Arabidopsis thaliana: one gene and its partner. The protein of the gene in region 2 interacts with the protein of the main gene of each other region in a biochemical or structural test. Each region holds a gene or a part of one and is shown on either strand. Other genes may lie near its edges.

Region 1 (8,952 bases), about 12 Mb from region 2:
ATAGGACGTGTTTAAAAGATAAGTTCATTTTAACCTAAGAAAATATTATGCTAGTTTTAACCGTTCAGAATAATTATCGGCATTATATGATCTATGAATCAATCTATCATCCATGATACTCATGAAAATGTAGTATTCGTTTGCTTTCATTTATTTCTTAACCCTTTTATACGATGTGACAAGTCAACTGTACTACCATTTATTTTCCAGAAGAATAAGGCTTATTTATATATATCGAGGATCCGAATGGTGACTGCGTTTTGCGGTGCGGGAAAAATGCGGTGCGGTTCAAATAATAACGAAAATACATAAATACATATATCTATATATAGATTTTGATATTATTACAGCATTGTTGCATTGCGGTTTTAGGTGCGGTTTATATCATCATTTATGACCTGAATTACAAAACAAATTTTGGTCCTTATAAAACAAATTTTGGAAACAAATTATGTTTAGTAAGACCAACATTTTTTTTTTTGGGTTAAAGACCAAAATTTGTTTTCAACAGAAAAGAGATAAGGCTGTGAGAAAGTGTCAGATCACACAGGAAAGGAAACATGCATTGTGGCATTGTTAGCTAAAAGAAACAAAATTCGAATTGTGACATATAAAAACAAAAGAAACATCAATATTCTTGCGAGGATTTGATACACATATCTTACTGTAATATTTTTTAACTTATATATCAAAATTGCAGGGAGGGGAGTGTTCTTCTAGATAAAGTAGAGCAAAAGGACGATAAAAAATTAAAAATATAACAGTAAAAAAAGTAAAGTAAGACAAAATTATTTACATAATTTTTTTGATGTAACAGAGGAAAGAGAAAAACTATTTGATTGCCAGTGTGGGTTTGCAGAGACAAATATACCCCGCGCCTGCAAAATCCTTTACTCTGTTTTGTTAATTTACAAGTTTACCCCTTAGATAGTTACTGGGATCCCACCGTCGAGATGTCTTGTCACACGTGAATTCTACTACTAAGATACTATTATTTCTCTGCTCTCCACTTTCACGTAACATCTTATACTATACAGTTTTTATACATTCTATACGATATACAATCTACGAAAAAAAAAACGATATACAATCTACCGAAATAGTATAGTTATAGGTCTGTTTATATAGTCTTATAGATTTGCACATTTTTCAAACAATGATGATATGAGACCTAATTTTCTTAGGGTATTTTCAATGGTCTTTCTATATTTTTCTTTATTTTTAAAGGTGATTCTATTTTAGAGGTATTGTATTCTAATAATCATCTCTAAAATTAAGTTTTCTTATAAAAAAAAATAGAGATATATTTTTTTTTAAATAGAGATGTTTACTTTTTGAGGAAACTCTATTTTATACGTGACTATTGGTGCACAATGCCTCTAAAATATAATCACCTCTAAAATAAAAAAAATTATAGTGGTCACTTTTTCAAAATATTTAGAAGTTGCATATCCGAAAGCATGCAACTTCTAAATATTTTGAAAAAGTGACCACTATAATTTTTTCTATTTTAGAGGTGATTATATTTTAACCTATATTCTCCTCCATATTCTCCTTTTATATTTTGAAAAAGTGACCACAGTTTTTGACCTATATTCTCCTCCATATCCAAAAACAACCGTTTGATAATACCGTTGTTAATGTGTTAATCATTTCTTTCAATTAGAATGGAACTATTGAAATTTGAAAACTCTAAATTACTAGACAACCACCTACTTGATTCACATCAACAAGTATAAATTCACACATACTAATGAAGTAACACATTGAAATATATTCTCTTTTGTGGTTTGAAATACTATTCTCACAAAAAAAAATATTCTACTCACGAATGTATAGTCTTATAGTGTTAGATGTTCATAGGCCTGAAGGAGAAAGAGTCATTATGGGCCTAATGTTTCTATATTCTAAATAGTTCTTTATGGCCCAAATATAATTTTGAAACTTCAGTTGTTGAGCCCATTTGTATGTTCTCTATCCAAAGCCTAATCGTGTGTATTCGAGCGTTTAATAAAGAACAATTTTTTTTTTTTTTTTTTTCTAATACCAGGAAGTTCTGGGCCAATGTCGGTAATCCTTTCATGCACGAAACCACATCGTGTAATATTAGTTTCGTTTCAAGCGTTACTCAAATCGGCGTTCTCTAAGCTTCGTTTACGGTCTTTACCAATTGAGCTAACGACACTCGGTAATAAAGAACAATTCACCAACTAAGACTCTGATTTGTTATAATCTGCATAGTTATTTATTAAAGGAATCAGAATTTAAATTACATTAATTAAGTCTTGATACATCATGAAATTTTAATCATTGATCAACCACACATACACATTCTCACAGGAAAAAAAAATGCATTGAAAAAGCCAGAAAAACAAAAAAAAACAGAGATCTTCATGTTGTTACAAGCTGTTACTGTGACTGTGACTATTATTTTCACTTCCACGAAGTTCTCTCAACGAAGCAACAACTTGTAACATATTAGGTCTCTTTGATGGGAAATCGTCAACGCACCGTAACGCTATCTCCAAATACCTCAACATTTCTTTCACAATCACTCCTCCTTCAAAACCTTCTTTCTCATTCAGAGACTCCGAAGAACCTTCTTTTAGAAGGTCTTCATCAATCACTTCCATGTGTTTCCCTTCTCTTGCCTTCATCTTCGACCAACCTACTAAATTCGTATCACCAAACTCTTCTTTATCCGTTGGTCTTTTCCCGCTTAAGATCTCGAGCATCACTACTCCGATTGAGTACACGTCGCCTTTTGCGGTACATCTGAAACTTTGGTAATACTCTGGTGGTACGTAACCTGGCGTGCCTGCCAAGGTACTTACACTCAAATGTGTGTCTAATGCGCTGATCAGTCTCGCCATTCCGAAATCTGAAACTCTTGCTTCCATGTCTTGATCGAGAAGCACGTTGCTCGATTTCATGTCGCGGTGGATTATGTGAGGGATACAATTGTGATGCAAGAAACAAAGTCCTTTTGCTGCTCCTTTTGCAATCTTTTTCCTCTCTTCCCAACCTAAAATCCTCCGTTTTTCGCCTGTTCTTGGTCCGTGAAGCACCTCCTCGAGGCTTCCGTATTGCATAAACTCGTAAACAAGCAATCTCTCTTCCCCGATTTTACAGTATCCCAAGAGCGGTACGAGGTTTCGGTGTTTGATCTTCCCTAAGGTTTCCATTTCTGCCATGAACTCTCGATCTCCTTGACAACTAAGTCTAATGAGCTTCTTGATCGCCACGGAAGACCCGTCTTTAAGCGTCGCCTTAAAAACCTCACCGAATCCGCCGTGTCCGATCATACTCGCGGCTGAGAATCCGTTTGTCGCCTCGATAAGCTGCGAAAACTTAAGCTTTCTCAACTGTCGCTGAAACGTCGCTACATTAATACTCAACGGCTCTTTCTCCTTCTCTATCTTCCATGTAGTGGCGGAATTAACCGCCTGCAAACTGTGAAGCATCTTCGCATCATCCGCATCTCTCCTCCTCGCACGAACCGCAATCGCCCAAACGATTAAAATACAAACCGAAGCAGCGGAAATCAACACTCCCAAAACAATGCTATTCGCCCAAGAAGCTGCCCTAGTTCCGTGCTTAGCACGTTTCCCTTCCTCTGTTCCAGCAGGAAGCTGATTGTTTCCATTCTTACATTCCGGTAAAGGAACACCGCAAAGCCCCGGATTATTCGCGTACTGAGTCGCCGGAAGCGTGCTTAACTGACCTCTCTGAGGAATCGGACCAGTTAACTCGTTATTCGACAAATCAATCTGCACCAAGAAAGACAAATTCGAGAAAGATTCAGGGATTTGACCCTGCAACCGATTATCCGAAGCATCGAAAACACCGAGATTCTTGAGCTGACCAATCGTAAACGGAATCTCGCCGGAGAGTTGATTATGAGAAAGCTCAAGAACTTGAAGAGCAATCATTTCTCCAATCTCATCAGGGATTTTACCTCTAAGCTGATTATAAGAAAGATCAAGATACTCAATGGTTTGATATCTTGTGAATAGACTCAAAATTGGACCTGAATACATTCTTGTGAAGTCACAGCTTTTAAGAGATGGAATCTGAAGAAGCCTCTCTGGTCTGATCCCTGAGAACTCAACCAAACCTCCAACACCTTTACATGAGTTTCCAACGTTTCTAACAAAAGCCATTGTGTTTCCTGAGAGTAAACCGGAAAGTGCTTTTGAACCGGGTTGACGACCTAACCGGGGAGGGATTTCACCGGTTAAGTGGTTTGTGTTAAGATCAAGCCAAACCAGAGTTGTGCATTTTCCTAGCTCCGGTGGGATTTCTCCGGTGAAATTGTTGTTACCGAGCTGAAGAACGGCTAACCGGGAAAGGATTCCGAAATCTTTAGGCACTTCTCCGGTTAATCTGTTGCTTGTGAATGAGACCCATTCGATGTTACTGCAATTGAAAAATTCCGGTGGGATTTCTCCGGTGAGTTGATTGTTGTTGAGGATCAAATCTTTTAGGTTTTGTAGTTTTCCGATCTCCGGTGGGATTTCTCCGGCGATGTTGTTGTACCAAGCTATGAATTGCTCGAGTTTCTGGAGGTTTCCGATCTCCGGTGGGATTGTACCGTTGAGATAATTGAGACTGAGATCAATCGTTCGTAGCTCAGAGCATTGAGATATCGCCGGTGGAATCTCTCCGGTGACGAGATTATCCGGGAGTCTTAGCTCTTCTAATGAAGCTGCTCCGGGACATAAATCCGGTGGAATCACACCGGAGAATCGATTCGAGCTGAAGTCAGCGATTCTCAAGCTCTTACAAGCAGAGATTGAAGTCGGAAAGTCACCGGAGATTAAGTTGTTGCTGAGAAGTAAGATTTGAAGAGATCCAAAACTCCGGAGGATAGTGTTCGGAAACGGACCGGAGATGTTGTTGTTTGAAAGGTCAAGACTTTGTAGCCAAGAACATGAGGACAACGACTCAGGGATCACACCAGTGAAGTTGTTGTAAGAAAGCCGGAGGTTTTGTAATGACCGGCAAGTATCTCCGATCTCCGGCGGGATCCAACCGGTGAGTCGGTTATGAGAAAGATCCAAACTTTGTAAGAGTTTAAGCTCACCGAAAGATTTTGGAATCTGCCCATCGAAGTTGTTGTAAGAAAGATTCAAGCTTTTGAGGTTGGTGCAGTTGATGAGTGAGTCAGAGATATAGCCGGAGATACTGTTACCGGAGAAATCGAGATAGGTCATGGAGACGCAAGAAGAAAGAGGAATGGTTAAACCGGAGATTGGACCGGTAATGTTGTTGTAAGAAAGATCAAGGGTTTGGAGTTTCTTGCTGCTTAAGAAAAGATCATTAGGTAACTTTCCGGTGAAGTTATTGTAAGAGAGGGTGATGGAAATAAGATTTGAGTATTTGGAGAAGAAATTTTCAGGGAGGGTTCCGATTAAACCGGAGGAAGAGAGTTCGAGATGAGTTAGGGTTAAAGGAAGAAGAAGAAGAGAGGTTGAGTTTAAGACGAAGAAGTTCTCTGAGAGTTTGAGAACAGAGAGAGAATCAAGAGAGGTGAAAGCATTGAAGGAGACGATTCCGGAGAGGCCACTACCGGAGAGATTAATCTCGGTGACTCTTCCTCCGAGACAAGTGACGCCGGAGAATTGACAAGGGGATTTACGAGGTGACCAGTTTGAGAGAATGTTGTTTGGATCATCTTGGATCATTGTTTTGAAAGAGAGGAGTGATAATGAGTCGGTTTTGAGTGAAGATTGGTCGGAGGAGGAAGATTGTGAGAGATGGGTAAGGAGGAAGATGAAGGAGATTTGGATCCGAGTCCGGATCCGAACCCGGATTGGTGAAGTAGTCATTGGAGGGAGGTTTTTTGAGTTTGAATGGAGAAGGAGAAGTAAGTAAGTTGAAACATTTAGATGATAAAGAGACGATGCTAAAGCAGAGGAAGAAAAAGGGCTTTTTTTGAAGAAAAGAAAAAGCTGCTTTTAGGTAATTTATTAAGTTTTATTAATTGTTGATGCTTATTATTTTTAAAACATCTTTGTCGAATCGTTTTTTTTTACATATGATGTTTTTCTAATAGATGATTGATTTATTAAATGGTTATGATCAATCTTATGATTTTGTGGAATTGTGATCATGACTTGTAGTGATTTGTGTAAGTGACATTATTAATCTAATAGAATACATGTTGTTTGATAATCAAAAAAATTAAGTTCAGTTTATAGAATAAAACTCTAATATTTAGAAAAATATGTTTTCAGTTTCATTTAGTCCTATATCTATTTGTTTCTAATGGTTTCATAATTTTAATTCATTAAAGCTCCATGTGGGGATTTTGAACCTTAGAAAGAATTATGATCACTGCTAATTTTCTAAATGGGAATTGTATCTATGAGATGTTTCACAAATTTCAATGAAGAAAAAGTGTAGTATTATATAAACTTCCATTTAAAAATTTAGCTATATACTATTGTTGTATAACATTTCTTAAAATGATTTAAATATTAGTTGTATAACATTTCTTAAAATAATTTAAATATTAGATGACAAGCAACTAGATCTAATAAGAGTCGGAAGGAATTGTCCGTTGTAGAATCGTCTATGTAACAGTGCAATAAATAATAAATCTAAGACTGGCAAAAAAAAATAATTGACAAGCAACTGAATATGAATATAGTTAGTGATATAGTGACAACACTAATAAAAACGAACATAATAGAAATTCTAGTCTATAATCACATCAAGTTTGGAATTTTGGGATAATTTGTTTTGTTTTTGTTGTGTATTGTATTAATACTTTATTTAAAAAAAAAACAAAACCTTTTACAAAAGAATGGCAATTATATTGAAAGGAATTTTGGGAGAAATTATTCCAAACCGATATACAAATATTTCATATGGTGGGGTGTGTGGTCAAAATAATTGGGACCCAATTTAGTCATAATATGCATCGCATATGAAATGGTCTTTTGTAAAATTTGGTTGATCCAATGTTCACTGTCGAGGCAGAGGCGTGGGGGAATGAACAGAGAAGTGACTTTACAAATTACAATAACAAACTTTAAGGTGTAACCATAATGTTGCTCACTTCTTTTTCCATTTTTATGTGATTTTAATTAGTTTAGTTTCATATAATATGCCATAGATGAGCCTTTATATCATGTTCCATGTCACACACTCCATCCTTTTCATCATTACACTGCCTTCTTCCACCAAGTTTATGAGTAGATTTGTATGACTTAAGCAAAATATTAGCTTGATTATTTCAGCCAACGAGAAAATGCTATTTTGAAATGTTCATTGATAAATAATCATATACACATATTAAAGAAAAAAATATACACAAGTCATATTTTAAAATGTTTCAATTGGTTATACCCTAGCTACCATTCAATTGCACAAGAGACTATTTCTTTAAGATCAATAGTTTCTAGTAAGAAATAATTATTCTTAGAACATTTTTCCATTGCAATTAATAGTGCAAATCTTATCACCTATAGTGTGATTTTGTGTGTTATAAATTTGTAATATATCATACTGTTGAAGACTATAGAGTATATTTTATTGATTCTGTTTAATAAATAAAGGACCGAATAGTGGAGAGTAATAGAGAAAAAGCCCCACAAAAGAAACAACATCAATTAGCTCGTGGTTTAGTGGCATGAGAGGTTATGATTCCTTTGGCCCCAATATTTTTAAATAATTCTTTATGTAAATTCTTCTTTTCACTACCACTAATCCTTATATCTGTTTTGTATGAATTTTGTTCTGTATTCTCTTGAACGTCAAGTTATTTGACCGCTCAACAAGTAATTCCAATCGAAATCAGACTAATTTGCAATTTTGTATGAGTAGTGAGTAAATACAGTATACCACAAAGATTGACTTCTCCCCATGGCCATAAAGAATCAACATTGAAAAATATTCGGTAAACGTTTTAGACTTTTAGTTATTTTTTTTTGTCCAAAGTGTGTAGTATTTGAATTCTATTTGCATGTGAGTTTTAGTGTGGAATCACTAAGTATTTGATGTGTTTACGAGTGAATTACTTTGACGATTCAAGTTGGTTTAATAGTGTGTTGTTTGAGGATTCATTCTATTAGATATGTGTATATAGTTAGTTGATTGTATATAGTATAGTTGACATTTACATGTGCGTATTGATACTTGTATATATAGTTCATTGTACACATACTTTACAATTAATGAGAATCAGAAGTTATTTAGCTAAGATCTTAATACATTAAAAAAAGACCACATCTCTATGACTCTATCGATACTTTCTTCCATCCGACCACTATAGTTTCAAATCTTTGCTTCCGTTAATTGAATCATTAGGTGGATTTCTGTGTGTTTTTATAGTAGATATAATACATTTGGGGTTACCATAAAGTTTAAGAGATCTTAAGAGCAAGATTTTGTCTTTATTAAAGGGAAATAATCCAAAATAGAAATAGTAGATGTTGATTTTTTTTTAAAATTTTTAATAATAAAAACGGAAATTACCATATATTTTAAAGAATGCGGAAAGAGAGGTTTTAGGCTTTTGCTTCTATAGGTGTTGCAACTCAATCTTTTTGTTTGTTGCTAAGCTTGTAAATATCATTTAAAACAAAGTTTGAGGTATATTACAAAGAACACTACTCAAAGTTATAATAGAGTAACTTTGGCAAAAAGAAAATAAAAACAAAGTTATAGTGAGATTTTGGAAAATAGAAGTTATCGAATCCAAAAGAGCATTAGTACTCGTTAATGCTTCATATGACGCCTTCGGAGATGATGTTGCGAATATCTCTGACAATAATCTTGAAGATAGATGTGTGAGGGATTTGTTGATCGTTGTGCAACACATTATTTCTTTATCGCCAAATATGGCACACAGAAGTTTGTCAACAAATATTACATATATGAATGTATACACATGTTTTTGATAATTTTGTATACGCACACGACCAAAAGTACTAATTACTCCTT
Region 2 (7,883 bases):
GTGTATGTTTAACTTGTGAGTAGAAGAATGTTAGGGAATATAAGTCGCGTATTGTCAGTTTAGTGTGTTTGTATATTCGATGGTATTATTAGAGATCAAAGATCAGGTAAGTGTAAGTAAGAGACGTTGATTTGGCAACCTTTCAAGACAATATGACACGTTTGAACTTTCATACATATGTACGGTGTGACTTGCGAGTCCTATGACATGTGACCACGAGTACTTGGGAAACGGAAAATAAAATGGATATTATCATGTAGCACGAAAGTGATAGGGGGGGGGGGGGGGGGCTAGAGAAACTGATTGGATCATATTATGTCGATATTATATATCGAAATTAGTTTCTTGGTGGGTTAAGGTATCTAATCTAAATCTGCTTTCATCAACCCTTGGGTCGGGTTCATAACCCGACAACTAATTATACCACCAGAAAAGTGGGTCCGAAAAGTTAGAATTGAAATGTCAAAGCATGACAAACTTACACAATTGTGACTAGAGGTGGAATTACTAAGTACCAAAACTGGGACAGGTTTAAGCATCATAAATTGCCTAATTGTGTTTAGCGATGAAATTACTATCAAAGATTTAAAATCCTATTTACTATTTCATCACACCCATTCTAAATTTTTTTTTTGGATTCATCAGAGTTACTAGTTCTAAATTTTGATATTTTGATTATAAAATATGCAATCGGATTAGCTAAATATATGGAAAAAAAAATCACCTAATAGTTTTTGCATCTGTAGTATTTGATTTTTCATATAAAACTACATATACTAACTCATTTTCATTTTTATACTATAGTAGATTTAATTTGCATAGAAATATTTAAAATTTTAGCATTATCTATTTTATATAATTTTCATGTGAATTATTTATTTTCTCACGGATATGATTTGAATTTTTAGAATATTTCAATGTTTGGACGGACATTCGAAATCTAAAACTTGGATATCAAAATATCCAGATATCCAAAAATCTCGAATATGGATCTTAATAGTTGTTGTTCAAATACCATTTTCAAATATTGTAGAATTTTATGATATCTAATCCATTTATCCCTCTAATTTTTATCACTTTGTATTTATTTTTATTTTTTTATTTTTCTTCTTCTTCTTGACATCGATTCAACCTACTCTTTAGGCTTAAACACGTTTTAGACATATAAAAGTAAGAAATCAATCACGCATTCTTTTCGTTTGTCTAATTTTATGTTATCATAACCAGTAGGTTTACTTTTCTAAAATCGATTTAGATAAATAAATACCCACCGAATCGGTCTTCCCTATGACTCGATACTAATTGTCTTGACGTACCAAAACTAATTGTCCAAGAATAAACAAAAAGTGGCCATGTGTATCTACTAGTTGATCTAAATTGACCAAAGTTAAAAATGTTTTAGATATTTTAGTTAAAGTACAAAGGAGCCATATTTGGAGACCACAAGTTGCTAGAAAGTGATGGGATCGTGTAGGGTCAATGATCCCTAAACACCACCGAGATAAAACCTTTTCTTCTTCTTTTTCAGACTCTCCATCTTAATCCACGTTGGTCGTTGGCGACTTATTAGCAGCCGTTCACATCACATTTGTTCCCTTCTCACAAATCCAACCTAAATTCTCCAGGTTTTTGTATATAGTGAAAATATAAAATTAGACAAACGAAAATTATCATTTTTAATGAAATAGTAGGCGAAAAGTCTAATTTGCCTTTTCTTGGTAAGTTAAGTGAGAAAATAACCAAAAAAAGTGAGACAAAGACAAAAAGATTATGGGTTTCCCTTTCATATCAAGTAACCAAATAATAACAACAACAAACAATTTTGGCCAAACTTAATCAAAGAAACAACAAATCCTTGCATTACACACCTCCCCACATCTTTTTCCTTATTTCAATCTTCCTCCCTTCAACAAAAGATCTAACATAAATTCATCTATATTTTATACATTCTCACAATTTCATCCCCTCATCTTTTTTATTGCTCCCCCATGCCCCAAAATGTCCCTTAAAACGGAATCGATCCCTCACAATATTGGTTTGTCCATCAGCTCGTTTTCGGCTGCGATCCTTCCCGAGCCACGGCCGGTTATCCTACCGAATGATCCAATAGTTGATAGTCCCATGAAGCTGCTGCTTTCTTCGCCAAGGTTTATTGATCTTCTATGTTTTCTGAATTTGGAGGAGCTAACATCACCTGCCTCACGATCAACAACAACAACATCATCTAGGCTTTTGCTCTTTTCGTTGTTGTTGTTGTTGTTCTGGGCGACGACTAAACATGCAATGGTGCTTCTACAGAACGGACAGACCGGTGGAGTCACGGTTGAGGTCGTTGGGTTTGGTTTGTTGTGACAGCACAGTGCAAGTGTGCATTGTGCACACATTTGGTGACCACAGTCTTTAACTTCAATTGTACATACTTGCTCAAAGCAAATGCAGCACAGTTCCGTATCACTCACCTATAGACACATTTACATGTTACTACAATCACAAAAATTACCGAGCCACGGGGAAAGTAAAGAGTGTAGTATTATTACCTCGGACATGTTATCATCCGTGTCAGAGAAAGAGGGTGATGGTAAGGAATAAGCTGTTCCTTTGAGGATGGTTTTCTCTCTCTCCCTGTTAGCCTCCATTAAAGCCTGCTCTAAGAGAAGTTTCGCCTCGTCATTAAGCTCACTGATGAACTTTAATGGTGATGGCCAAACAAGTGGCTCTGCAGAGGACGGATTAAGTAAGGCTCCACATGCTCCATGCTTATGCTTCATCGCAACCACATAAGGTATTCTCCTGAAAAGATATTTCAAGATTCAAGTTATGTTCTGAAACCAAAACAAGACTTTTCCACAAAATTTATATATATACCCAGAAGCGTCTCGTTGAAGACGATCAGCACCCCAAGCAAGCAACTTTCTGACACAATCTATAGATCCACTTCTAGCTGCTAAATGAAGAGGTGTGCTTCCTGGAGAACTGTTTCAACAAAAGCTTAAAGAATCAGTTCCAATAGAACAAAACATCTAAGAACTGTTGATTTCAATGCATGACAAGAAAAACCATTACCCATATACACTAGTAGATGCACAAACAAGAGAACCACTATCCAACAAAACATTCACACATTCAGGTCGTCTCTGTCGAGCAGCTAAATGCAACGGAGTCGCTCCTTTATCATCTCTTATGTTCACAAATCTCGCATATCCCCTGAAAATGAAAACCCCTGAGTGTCAAAAGTTTCATTCTCAGGAATAAGTAAACTCTGATCAAAGATAGGAAGAGACTTACCAATGGACAGCAACAGGACTTGATTGAGCAGCAGAGAGAATAGCTTGAACACAATTAGCATGTCCATAATAAGCAGCGTAATGCAAACATGTTCTTCGATTCACAGAATCAAACATCAAAATCTGCAGATTCCAAAAGATTTTCAATTACCAAATCCAAAATCGATTCAATTGCAAAACAAAAAAGTAAACGTACATTAGCTCCAACTTCAGCTAGCTTCTTCACACAAGAGATTCTTCCATACATCGCAGCCAACATTAACGGAGTCTACAAGACGAATCAAAGCATCAGCAAAAGATTCATGAAAACTATACACAGAACAGATCAATGCGAAAATCAAAAACCTGCTTGTGACGATTCAACAAATCTGGATTCGTAAATCGTTCCAAAAGCAATGACAAAATCTGCAAAAAAAGTAGATACATCAGAAACAAAAATACCAGATTCCGACGAGATTCCGGCGAGATCTCGGAGAATATCACTGAAACTAACCTCGATCTGACCATTAGCAGCAGCGACATGAAGAACAGAGTGACGATCATAAGGAGTAGTTTGATTCAACAGACTAGGCTCCGTCGCCATCACACGACGGATAGTGATGATATCGCCGCACTGTACAGAGGCGAATATTCCGTGCTCCGGTCGACTTCCACAGCTCATACTCTGCCCCATCTCTCGAAGATTTTGGTTAGAGCTCTGTGTAAAGAGATGGTGATTGATGGAGGTTTTAGGAGAGGAACAACGACACCGTCTGCCACCGGTGAGGCGCTCCGATGAGAGAATAAAGCGCCACCGTGACGGAGAACGGTGGTTGTGTGAGAGCTTTTAACAATGGAGAAGAAGAAGAGGGAAGAAGATTCACATTTATGTACACATTGATAGAGTCATTTGTTGAGAAGATATTAATTTTTAAATTTTTTTTTTGTTTTTTTTATAAAGTTGATTAAAAAAAAAAGAGAGAGACGGAGATAAAGAGAGACGACTCTCTATTGGAGGATTTGCCCGACGGGCAGTTTTTTTTTTTTTTTTTTTTTTTTTTGCCCGTTGTCAGTTTTGTTACAGTTACTTGTGATTTCGGGCAGTCTTGTCAGATATTTTCTATTTTTATTTTGAGGCCATTTTTTTTTTCTTGTAGCTTTTTTCTTTGAGATTAATTATATTTTCTTTGATTTGCCAAAAATAGGATGGTTTTGTCCACAAGAAACTGATTTTAATGAACAAAATTTACAAATTTACTGTTTGAGTGATCACCACATCTTAACTAAGATTCATCATAGATATGTTGGATCAAATTAGTAAAATAACCGGACTTCCAAAAAAATTATTATGATATGAATTCGTGTGATTTGATCTGTATAATGAGATCCTAAAACTGTGTTTTTGAACAATTTTTCAATTTTTTCGGTAAAAATTTGGAGTCGATAAGGCTTTTAATATACATGTAGGGGGTGATATCAATGTTACAAACATTATGTAAATCATGTTTTCTGATCCAATACAACACATTAGTTTAATAAAAAAAGTTTGATTATTTCACCATTGTCAAAATTAGTCATAGTAAGTCTTCTAGATCCTATACTAAATTATCGATGATTGTAGGATAGGCGATTCGATTATTGGAAAGGGAACAATGTTAGGTGTTTTGCTAGATGGTGTGAAGAAAAATTTTAACACTTAAGTCACAAATAAACAAGAAAAGAAATGGTAGTTTATGTACAAGCTAGTTCAAAGGAAATTTAAAGTTTAATATGCTATTTGTAGATTCTAGTACACAATTTTTAGAATTGTACTAGAACTTCGGGAAAGCTAATTCGATCAAAGAAGTTTTTAGAAAAACAAATTTAAATAGTAGGCAGTTTCGACAGAAGCTAAAGCAATTTAGTTTGGTTTGAAATAATATAAATTTATAAAATGACATGATATTCTTAAAATATTGTACATATTAAATTACCTAACTTAATGACTATATCTTCATTTTCTCTAATAACACATAGTTATTTTGATACAGTATATATATCATAAATTTTATTATTTAAACATAAATGGTTCCAAAATGATTATGCACTCTTCCTTGGATATTTAACAAAAAGAAACACACTCATATGTATACTATTCATGGAGTATTATATAGATACAATATCTGCATATTATAACTAAAAAGCATATAAATAATTTGTGGTCAATATTATACTAAAAGCCAACAAGCAGCCCACTTGAAATTTTCTCATCGGAGTCCAAGTGGCCGTTTGATGACCTTCGCTTCCCGATGTGGACTTCGACATCAAATCTCGAATGCTTTGTTTCACTTTTTTTCTTCTTTAAATTCAATATTAAGAGCTATTTTATTAGATTCCTTATTTCAGATTATATATATGTCTATTGTTGATATAAGCTGGTAAAATGTTTTGGGTTAAAAAAAAATATATCATTGCAATATATCATGCAAATCTGTCAGCCATTTATGTACGACTAAGATCTGTCATAAAATCTCGTGACTATGATTTTATATGATGAGGTTGCATATATATTTCTCTTGTACTGGATGTATCGTCCTCGTACATAGTTTATTTAGGTAGTGGTACCTATCTAAAACTTTGATTAGTCCTAACGATTTTCTCCTAATCGTTGAGAACTTGTCCGTCTGTGTCCAACTTGCAAATAGGGTCTTCCTTTGAAAGAAGAGCCTTAACGACAGTTAGATTGGAATATGGATGATCTCAAAACATAGAATTCAGAGATTGTAAAGCAAATTATTTGGGTTTATATATAAAAAAAAAGAATTACGATTGACGAATCACCAATCATTACTTGGCATAGAGTTATAGACAAAAGCATCTAACCAAACCTACGTACGTGTCTCTAATATTGTTCTACTACTATACTGTATTAATTACAATACGACATTTCAATCGAAAATATAGTAACGTGTATTTGGAATATTGGCCCAAAATTTGTTGACCAGAATGGCGTTTTTCTTCTTTTTTTTTTTTTTTTTTTCTACTAGTTGAGTAAACATCACAACCGAACTCGTTTTAATAGAAACATATTCAGTAAAAAACAGATTGTGTCGCCAATTTTCACCAGTTTGATATAACTCGATTTCTTTCAAACTTTCTAACCCATGCTTTTTTTTGCGGCCAAAATTGTTTGCATTTTCTGACTTAAAGACGATATTTGCTTTTGGAAAACACCAAATAGATGTTCCATGATTTGTTTTTGTTTGTCAGCATATATATGTTCCATGAATTAATATGACTTTTTTGGTTGTCCCAGTGAGTTATTTACTGTCGTGTCGAATTATTGATCAACAGTTTAATTCCAACAAAACAATAAATTTGTTCACTAAGGTACTTGTACTCATTTTTACTCCAAGAAAAAAAAAAGAGTTATTACACTCCAAACTAACAAAAATACTGAAACCTGGTCTATACGGAATTTGTGTGTGTGTGTTTTATTATAAGGTTCTCATTGATGGGTGCCTTTTATTTTCCATTGATCGGTGCGTTCATTTTGACGAAATATCTATATACTCACTCATATAGTAATGTCATATTTATGATGGGAAATAGTTGACCAAATTATTTATTTTCTTACTGAATAGTCGTATAGCGTTTACTACATGACTCTTATCATCTATTGAAGATGATTCAAAGCGTGTTGTGGTGGTATGGGTAGGGGGTCCTTAAGCATGTCTCATTTATTTATTTTGATAAAAACAAGTATGTCTCATTTTTGTATCCACCTAATCACATTTTTCATTTTTATGAGACCCTAAACAACTAAAATAAAGTCTACATTTATACCAAAACTAAGAATGTTAGATTATATTCATTTAAAATATGTCATAATTTCAATTTAAAATTCAAAACCCTAACGTTAAAACTAAATTCTATACTTAAACTCTAAATCTCAAATTTTAAATTACAACCATAGAAAGTAAATTATAAATCCTAAATCTAAAAATGTTGTACTTTTTATTAAGAAATTATAGTTTATATATATTTTTCTCTTGATTATCCTTTTTAATTGTGTTAATTACTTTTTGTGTCATGCATAGTACCATGGCGACATAACTGTTTTGTGTCAGATTGGCATTTGTCATGAGGATCTTATTTCGTTTTGGGGTCCACGAAACTTTTTTACGAATTACTAACGTAATTAACTGAAGTATGAGCAAGAACAAAAAAAGATTCCATGTTTGGTACGTAAAATTCGCATGAAATAATGTAAAGTTATAAACCATACACATTCAACAGACATATTTACTTATTTTCAACTACCATCAGATGCATACTCATTTTTTTTTTCTTATGAATTATTTATCATTGTACATTGATGAACTGATTTGATAGTAATGGAACCCTCTACTCTGCTGAGAATTATACAGGCACATTATCTGTTTTTTTTTTTATGTTTTGGTATTTACTACTTGTTTTTGGTGATATTTACATATTTTCGTAATCATTATCAACTTGAAAACAATGTAAAGAATAATATGAATTCGAGTGATTGAAGCTGAAAATAACTTTTTTCACCGTCGATCATTTGCCCATTTTTTATTTTATTTTATGGAAAGCATCTATCACTCGCTCAGAAAC

Evidence for each region. The genes of interacting proteins can lie anywhere in the genome.
Region 1: the proteins of XBAT31 (region 2) and BRL2 form a complex in vitro, tested with the Arabidopsis thaliana proteins (one study listed by BioGRID).

What each region holds. Positions count from the first base shown.
Region 1 is NC_003071.7:438,406-447,357, forward strand, and holds BRL2 (BRI1-like 2), read right to left. Parts: upstream 5,920-8,952; 5' UTR 5,832-5,919; coding exon 2,400-5,831; 3' UTR 2,219-2,399; downstream 1-2,218. UniProt on the Arabidopsis thaliana protein: Receptor with a serine/threonine-protein kinase activity, which may transduce extracellular spatial and temporal signals into downstream cell differentiation responses in provascular and procambial cells.
Region 2 is NC_003071.7:12,374,616-12,382,498, reverse strand, and holds XBAT31 (uncharacterized protein), read right to left. Parts: upstream 4,228-7,883; 5' UTR 3,958-4,227; coding exon 3,778-3,957; coding exon of another isoform or gene 3,690-3,777; coding exon 3,630-3,689; intron 3,553-3,629; coding exon 3,481-3,552; intron 3,408-3,480; coding exon 3,286-3,407; intron 3,205-3,285; coding exon 3,064-3,204; intron 2,974-3,063; coding exon 2,866-2,973; intron 2,791-2,865; coding exon 2,538-2,790; intron 2,460-2,537; coding exon 2,025-2,459; 3' UTR 1,690-2,024; downstream 1-1,689. UniProt on the Arabidopsis thaliana protein: No E3 ubiquitin-protein ligase activity observed when associated with the E2 enzyme UBC8 in vitro.